2 linked regions of the Xenopus tropicalis genome follow. The protein of the gene in region 2 purifies or fractionates together with the protein of the main gene of each other region. This does not show direct contact. Links are inferred from orthologs where the notes say so. Each region holds a gene or a part of one and is shown on either strand. Other genes may lie near its edges.

The links. Proteins that work in one complex are often made in the same cells at the same time.
Region 1: the proteins of dcaf11 (region 2) and cops5 purify together in Homo sapiens (affinity purification with mass spectrometry; 6 studies listed by BioGRID and IntAct, with this or other methods). This does not show direct contact. The link is inferred for Xenopus tropicalis from reciprocal best matches to the Homo sapiens genes DCAF11 and COPS5.

Annotation. Positions count from the first base shown.
Region 1 is NC_030682.2:119,216,951-119,221,129, forward strand, and holds the start of cops5 (COP9 signalosome complex subunit 5), read right to left. Parts: upstream 2,803-4,179; 5' UTR 2,794-2,802; coding exon 2,651-2,793; intron 665-2,650; coding exon 430-664; intron 1-429. UniProt on the Homo sapiens protein: Probable protease subunit of the COP9 signalosome complex (CSN), a complex involved in various cellular and developmental processes.
Region 2 is NC_030677.2:139,470,436-139,474,747, forward strand, and holds the start of dcaf11 (DDB1- and CUL4-associated factor 11), read right to left. Parts: upstream 2,827-4,312; 5' UTR 2,815-2,826; coding exon 2,660-2,814; intron 1,274-2,659; coding exon 1,146-1,273; intron 760-1,145; coding exon 641-759; intron 1-640. UniProt on the Homo sapiens protein: May function as a substrate receptor for CUL4-DDB1 E3 ubiquitin-protein ligase complex.

The DNA of each region.
Region 1 (4,179 bases), on a different chromosome or scaffold from region 2:
GCCTAGTGTCATAAGAAAACAGCTTTTCTGTCTCAAACTGTGAAAATTGAGGATTTAAATGTTCACCAGTGCTAATTCCACAATGAAATATGGTTAAATGTGAACAGTCTGCCACAATTAGAAAAAAGAAAAAGTGAATCCTAGCTGCTGTGTATACGGACAGCCTATCTGGGCAAGCATATCCTCCTCAAGGAAAACTGCAACTTTGTAATTAGAATACACATATATAATTGTTAATGTTAAATGAATGTTAAAGCTTAAATAAGTATTGTCCTACTTGTATTGCACATTATTACTGTCTTTATACACTGTATTCACTGTGTAAGCATGTTATGCAGTAGAGATGACAATTAAGGAAATGAACTGAGAGAAGAGAAAACTATCTTTTCCTTTTAAATGGTATAATTTTTAAGCCAGGATGCAAGGTACCTGCTTTGCATTTTCAATATATGCAGCCATGTATTCATAAGCAGCAGCCTGAGCATTGACTCTGGTTTCAGTTCCTTCAACTGGTAAAGCAAAACTGTCCATAATGATCATAGTCTCCCCGTCCACTTTTCCAAGCATGAGGCCCATCACCTCAAGGTTCCCTCCTGATCTGGCGTGCATGACCATCTTCAGCAGGGCTAGGGCAGACACTTTGCAGTACTTGAAGTAATGATGGCTGTAAACAAGAAGAAGTAAACTTACCCAGGGCATAATTTCATGTGAACAACAGAAAGGCAGCCTCTTTTCTTGCTAATCAATAGCAAGTCAGTTCCCTTTAATAGCCAAGCAGTGTTTGCTTTGGTTAGAACAATGCAGCTCACCATTATCTCACCAATCTGCACATCACATAGCTTTAACAAAAGTGCATTTTATAAAGGCTAACCGAATATACCTATTGAATGTGTATGAGGCAGCTATGATCTCTCTGCAGCACTTAGGACAATGAAAGACAAGGAGTTTAGACAACTGCCTTGCCACTGGTGAAAATATAAATCACCGGTGGGAAAACATAAGCGATGCTACAGCTTTCCATAGTCAGAAGTTTCTTTGCAGGGCAACTTCGCATAATTTTGGAAAGCCAAAGCAACGCATATGTTTTTCCACCGGCAATTTACATTATCGCCAGTTGGAAGGCATTTGGAGATGATCAGTTGCCCATGGTAGAGGAGATTTATAATGGGCAACTAATCTCATGTGTCAGGGCCCTGTTGCATGAAAGATCAGTAAAAGGGCAATCTAGTCAGTGTATCTTATGTCCGATACCTGTACCTTGTACTTGATCCCAACTAAGATATAATTTATCCTTATTGGAGCCAAAACAATCCTATTGGGTTTAATTACTGTTTACATATTTGTTTTAGAAGATTAAAGGTAGGAGATCCAAATTATGGAAAGACCCCTTATCAGGAAAACCCCAGGTCCCAAGTTTTCTGGATAAACATACACACATTAATTGGACTGGAGACAAGGAACCTTTCTTTCCTCTGTAATATTCAAATCCCCCCATAATTAATACAAGCTAATAAAAGAATTACAGAGGAAAAAGTTTTTGGGTCTACAGATTCCAAACCCTGTCACTGCTATACAATGCAGTATATTACCTTTGTTTTTATAATTGTGATAATTTGTACATAGATAGATAGGCTAGATAAAGAGCACTGCACGCTCAAGTTTATTGAAAAAATGTTTGGAATACCAACAGTATTCTTCAGGGACAAACCAACAGACTGAATACCCACACACATTTTAAATAACATCCCACAAAAAATGGCGCCAAAAAGTGATCATAGTAACCATAAAAAACACTGTAAACCAACAACATGGAGAACAGAAGCAGAAAGAAGCAAAGAAACAGAAAATAAAGTGAAAATAAGTTAAATTATAGCGTTACAAGTATGTATAAATGGTTAATGAAAAAATGTTACAAGATGTGTCTTAACATTAAAGTTGATAAGATATGAGACATAACAGGGACAAACTAAGCAACAACAGCAGGACTCACCAAGGTTAGGGAGAACAGTATTGAATACACTTGTATCGAATAAACTTCTAAAGGCCAGTCATATGCATCTAAAACACTCCGTAACAATGTGTTACAGCCACAAGTCAATCCTGACCGACCGTCAGCTTCTTCATGTAAAGTCACATGCCCCTGAGCGAATATGGCCTGTAGATATGCAGCTGAGCATATCTATAGAGCTTGGTGGTCAAGCAACTGGGGCTTTATCAGCAGCTTGTAATAACTAGTTTACTTATAGTAATAACTAGTATTGAAACCACCTGGCTGCCAGAGATGTCTGGGAATTGTAGTTCAAGTAGAGTACTTTCAAGTTTTTCACAATGCTAAAGGGTATATTTATCATGCTGTGTAAAAAGTGGAGTAAAACATTACCTGTGATATTGCTCATAGCAGCCAATAACATGCTTTGCTTTAGTTTTCTAATTGTTGAAATCTAACTGCTGATTGGTTGCCCTGAGCAACATCATCAGTAATGCTCTCCACTTTTTACAAAGCATGATAAATATACCCCTCAATATTGGTATATTTCACTTCAGACCATCCAATTGTTAGCGATCTACAACTTTCAAATCCCCTGGATGTCATGCATTCTGTCTCTCCTATCCCAAACAACCCCCGTCCTTCTCAATTCCCATTTCTTACTCCTTTGTCCATGGTTTGGCTGCTAGGATCTCCTGCTGCTGCTTCTTATCGTATTTATAGATCTCATCGATGCTCTGCACCTCCTGCATGTTATTGGAGAGCTCCCATGTCTTCTGGGCCACGCTGCTCCCAGCCATGGCCATGGCCTCTTCAAAGTCCGCCAGCCTTACAGCTTACACCGGCTCACAAATACACAACGTCGCCTCACACTGCGCACATCCGGAAGTCTAGCCTTGCCTCCGCCCTCCGCCAGGCGCAGTCACAGTGTGGGAAGCTGCAGGTTCCAGAATTATAACTTAGAAAACTCTCCTGGTTCTGGGATTGATTTCATTTCGGCTTCATTATTCTGTTACATTACAGAAAACAGGAAAGCATAACACACATCGGTCATATAAAAACAATACATTTTTTTGGTGGGGGTAAGACTTACAACATCACCCTCCTGTTTTCTACAAATGGTATCGTCTGCTTGAAAGTCATTAACAGTGACGTCTTTCAGTATTTTATTAACCCCATCTAGCGATAGACAGTGGTATGGGGGGCTTGGATTGAAGATGGGATTAATAAATGGGTTCAGAGCAAGAAATGGATCCCAGTGCTGTTTTATGTGGGTTTCCGTTTAAACTGTAACCAATAGGTTATTGATGCAACAATGGCTGCAGTTAGGAAGTAGCTAAACAATCATGAACTGCAGTAAAATAGCAGGTCTTAGGCAACTGGGTCAGCATATAAGTACCTACAGTGTTATGAATAGAATGCGTTACCTGTGGGTTTTTTTGGCATGTAGTGCAGCAAAAAAAGGATGAAAACTAGGCAAATTTATATCTTGTACTAAATTCTTATGCCTTAACCCTTTCACTTCCAGACGATTGGGTCAAAGCGGAACTTTCACTTTAGGGGCCTTTCCTCGGGGGGACTTTTAGTTTACCCAGAAAAACAATATATCATTTTTTCAGGACAATTTAAGCTTTCAAAATATGGTAGAATTCCAATTCTGTAACAAGATATAGGCTTCTAAATGTCTAAAAAAATTATTTTATGCACGAAAATACAACTGATTTGGAAAGCCCCATGTCTCCTGAATGTGCCAATACCAAATATACATAGTTTTATGGAGATTTCTCACTTGTATAGGTCAAAAACTACAAGCAGTACACTACCAAAATTCCAAAGCACTGGTTCAGAAAGCTGCATACTTCAGGTTTCAAGGCCAAAGATTGCAGTAACAGAGGGTTTATCCCAGAAATCATACATTTTTGGAAACAGATTCTGGGGAATCCAGAATACGCACAACTGTCTGTCTACTCCAAACTACCAAGTTTCCTAAAGTTACTGATTTTTATCAAAATTTGTAAAATTTAAAAAAAATAGCTTCAAAGCTTCCAGTCTATAGTATCTTATCTCCTGCAGGTCATAAAGTAACCAAATTAAACATCCTAAATTTGAACGCCAGGGGTCCACTGAATAGTTTGACACCCAATATGTATAGGTTTACCTAAGTAAGTGTCATGTAGGGGCCCCATTGTGAA
Region 2 (4,312 bases):
CTTTCTGGGAATGCATAGAGAAGCAGGAGCCAGTGTGCAGCAGCAGCAGATTTCTTCTGTGCCTATACATAACTGTCTGACTTACTGTGCATTTCCAGAATGCTTCTTCTCTGTCAGGCATGCAAAGAAGGCTCTCCTCTTTGACTACCCTATAGTCGAATAGATGAGCAGAGCTGAACAGAAAGAGGGGGCAGGCCTTCACACTGTACCAGGAAGTGACTAAGATATGTTATTCTGGGGGTTGTTTAGAGTAATTTATTTTAAAGATAGAAAAAAAAGGTTTACTCCTTCTTTAAGGGGCACCCAAGGAGACATTCTTCCCACCTACATACTCCCTCTTATATTGCGGGTGCAAGCTTTGATTACCAGCATATAACAGGTGCAAATTTTTTCACCCCCTTATTGAATGTGCAAAAGTTTGAACATGATAGCAGTGGGTGCAGATAAGCCATGGTAAAGATGCAGAACAGGCAGTTACATTGCACTTTGCGCCTACTGGACTCAAGGTTTATAGGCTATGCCCAAAATACTGTATATCTCATATGAAAAATGTATAATATAACCCATATGTGTAACATGGTTTTGATGCAATATGTTGTAAAAGCATACTTCCGACATCCAGTAAGTAGGCCAGTCATACCTCCAATAGGAGACGTGTGATGTTATGTTGTCTTTGTGTGCTTTGTCTTCCTGTGGCCAAAAGTGTCTGTGTCCTGATCTGATTTTGATCCAGCGATGTGGTGTCTGGGGCTGAATCAACTTCAAGAAAAGGAAAGTTGAATGAGATTTAGGCATATAAACTAAAGAAAAAAGCACACCAAAAGAGAATATGGCACAGAAAATTCTGTAGAATGAAGAAAAAATGCTGTTGATCTTGCCATTTAATTTACACTCAGAAGACCAAGCTTAAAATTAATGAATTTCACATATTAGCTAGCGACATGATAGATTTTCTAAGAAATATGCATGCCTGGCTTAGAGTTGTAAGAATCTTATAATATGAAATCAAGGTGACGTCTTTTTGAGCAATAGTTAACTAAAGTCAAACTTATTATAACTAACAGCTAAAAGTGAATCACACTCCGCATGGGTGTGTGGCAAAGGTGGATTACCAATAATGTAAGTGTGAAGACAAGACGACTCACCAGGAGGAATGTAGCGGTCTCCTAAGCAGCCCTCCCAGGCACTGTCGTTATCATCATCTGAGTCCGACAAAGATTGCACCAGGTGTAAGCTAGCAGGACCCCCTCCCTGCACTAATCGCACTTGTCCCCTAAGATGGAAAAGGACACCAACTCTCAGGACAGACATACCTCACACACAAGGGATGGGAAAGAACTAGGGTTCAGTGGGGAAGCAAGTTTGAGGGCAGTGGTTTACAAGCTCTGGGTATGTTTACATGCAGTATTGACATGTGGGTAGTAGAGGTAGTGTGCACAATAGCTCAAAGTTTTGCAAATCTGCTCAAGAATAATTTAGGAGAAATCTTGAAGGGCTGCAAGTAGGTAATTAAAATGAAGAATTCTCTAGGGCAGAGGTTGATGACCAGAATTGTTTGAACCCAGAAAGTAAGAATATGCTCATGTGGGCCATCTATAATTTTCGGCAGGCTCTCAGATATAAATAAACCTCTGATAGAAATTATAACTGATAGAATAGACTGTGATATACTGTAAAAGACTGCAGTGTTTACAGTATGTGCTGTACAGGCACATAAAGAACTTTATATTTGACCCTTCAGCACAGAGTAGCTGCTGGCTGCCCTATGTGCATATGTAAGAACTTTATGGTGCTAGTACTTGACTTGACGTTACAAGTAAAAGGGCTGTAGCATTATCACAGTAAGAAGAATGAGGTGAGAGGCCACTGCACTGGGCAAAAAAAACAAAAAACCCCAATGTTTCATGACTTAGTGGTGTCTCCATTTTCACTCATCCCCATGTAACTCAGTATTGGTGGCTTCGTATTGATTGAAAATGCTAAAATAACTCTGCACTGATTTGCTCCTTGCTCCTTGATTATTTTTTCAATTTAACAAAACATAAGCAACACATTTGAACCCAACTGCTGGATGTATAAAGTATCATGCCATGACACTGGCAACTACCTACAAATGATCTAAAATAATGTAACAGAGACACTATTTAACCCTTTCTGTTGCACAGGTTTTTGATCTAACCGTGTTGCATGTTGCCAGTAAACACCTTGCACCCTTCAAATAGAAACAACAAAAATGTAGAATCTTTGGGGCCAGCATGATGGAACTTTCGTGACGAAGCAGTAGATTCTATGATGATTCTATGATGGGTGACAGGTAAAGGATTAAAACAACTTTAAGGTTAAAAACAACTTTTCTGGTAATGACCATGCTACATATTCCACCTCTCTGCAGTATAATTCTATTCTGCTTTACAGTATGATGCCTAGTCTATATGACCACCTAGTGGCTATTATACAATACTGCTGAGCTAAAAGATTCCAGAAGTATTTAATTTATTGTCTGTCTCATTATCTATTAAAGCCCTTACCTGTCTATAAAAGAACCCTAAAACTGAACACTGAGCAATGTGCGCCATAAGTAAGATCCTACCTTCGCTTCAGTGTTTGCTAAGAATATAGTTGGACAAGTTTATGGAGGACATGTCAGGGGTCTTGTTACCTGCGCAGAAGATACGCCAGTACCTGCGCCAGGTCAACGTTCTCCTCATCATCATCATTCTGAAGACCACGTGACTCTAGGTTGTTTTGGGAGTCTTCTGGAGAATCTCCCGGAGTTTCCCCACCTCCTGCACTGCTACTACTTCGTGTTCCCATACTCCATCACTGCAATATACAGTAAACAAAATATCAGTAAAAAAAACACACGGACAAGAACATTGTTAATGCGCATGCCCAGGCTGCAACGTCATCGAACGCGTTTAAATCCCCGCCCACATGCGATCCTGCAGGCCCAGCTGTGCCCAAAGCCCAGTTTCCAAAGCCATTTCTGTGTGCCTTTGTTTGGATTTTCTTCCAACCTCCAAGAAAAGCCCTAAGAGAAATAAAATCTACAATTCCAGATACACAGAATGAGGTAGCCAGTACGGAAAAAAAACATTCAAATGTGGGAACTTTATTAGTAAGGGATGCGTTGGCAAGGTGACGTGCCTGCAGGGCAGAAGCCCCGCCCCTTCCAAACTCAGCTTGGGTTGCAGTGCTGTAGAGCTCTGCTGTGTTCGCACAGTGCTAGGGAATAGACAATTTACAGCTAAATAGTCAACGCCGTCCGGTACTCGTAACAATTGCTATTGTGGTGAGGGGCAGCTAAGGGCTGAACCCAGGGCGGTATGTTGTTATGGAGCCGATGCATACATTTCTTCTCTTTGCTCCTAGACTTCTTCCAGATGACAGTTCCCTGCAGGGCCGCTGCTGGCCAAATGGGTGCCCTAAGCAGAAATGTACTTTTGTGCCCCCTCCCCCAAATATTACAGAAGTAAAAAAAAAATAATAAAAAAAACCACCTACTATAGGGGCCCCACACACAGTGCCCCCAATATCCCCCATAGACAATGCCCCCATAGTAAGTGCCCCCAATAGCCCCCATAGACAATGCCCCTATAGTATGTGCCCCCAATAGCCCCCACAGTAAGTGCCCCCAATTGCCCCCATAGATTGATTGAACTATCCGGGACAGCAGGATGCGCTATAAAAACCGGACAGTGTTGGGGGGTATGTTATATAAAAATGATTTTTTTGAGCAGCTGGGATGGTGCCCCCCTGGGAGTTGGTGCCCTATGCAGACTGCATACTCTGCTTATAGGGAGCAGCAGCCCTGGTTCCCTGACTGGCGTTTGCAAATCTGTAAGGCAAAGACCATAGGAATGGCGACAAAATAAAATAAAGTTTATCGTTGACTGTATGCATCTGCTTTTTGTAATGTACCCCTGTGGGCTGGGCTAATGGGTGTGAGACTGACAGGATATTCAAACACACCGTGAATACCTTTGTGGTAAAAGTGTGCATGGGCAAAACTCTTTCAGTTATGTAAAAGTTGAGAAGTAGGCACATCACTGGAACACAGTCTCTTTATAACTCTGCAAAAGAACAGGCCTTGAATGTGAAGAAGGATACAGTACAACACAGGCTTCCAGATAGATTCACAAGAATTCAGCTGTTGGCCTGTCGTGATGTAGGTATTTACTATGTAATAAAAGTAGTATCGAAAGGTGATGGAAGAGTTAAACTATTAGGTTAAGGTCCCCATACACAGGCTACCGCCAAGCCAGCAGATCTTCTCCCCAACTACGGGTGGGCGATATCGGGAGAATCCAGG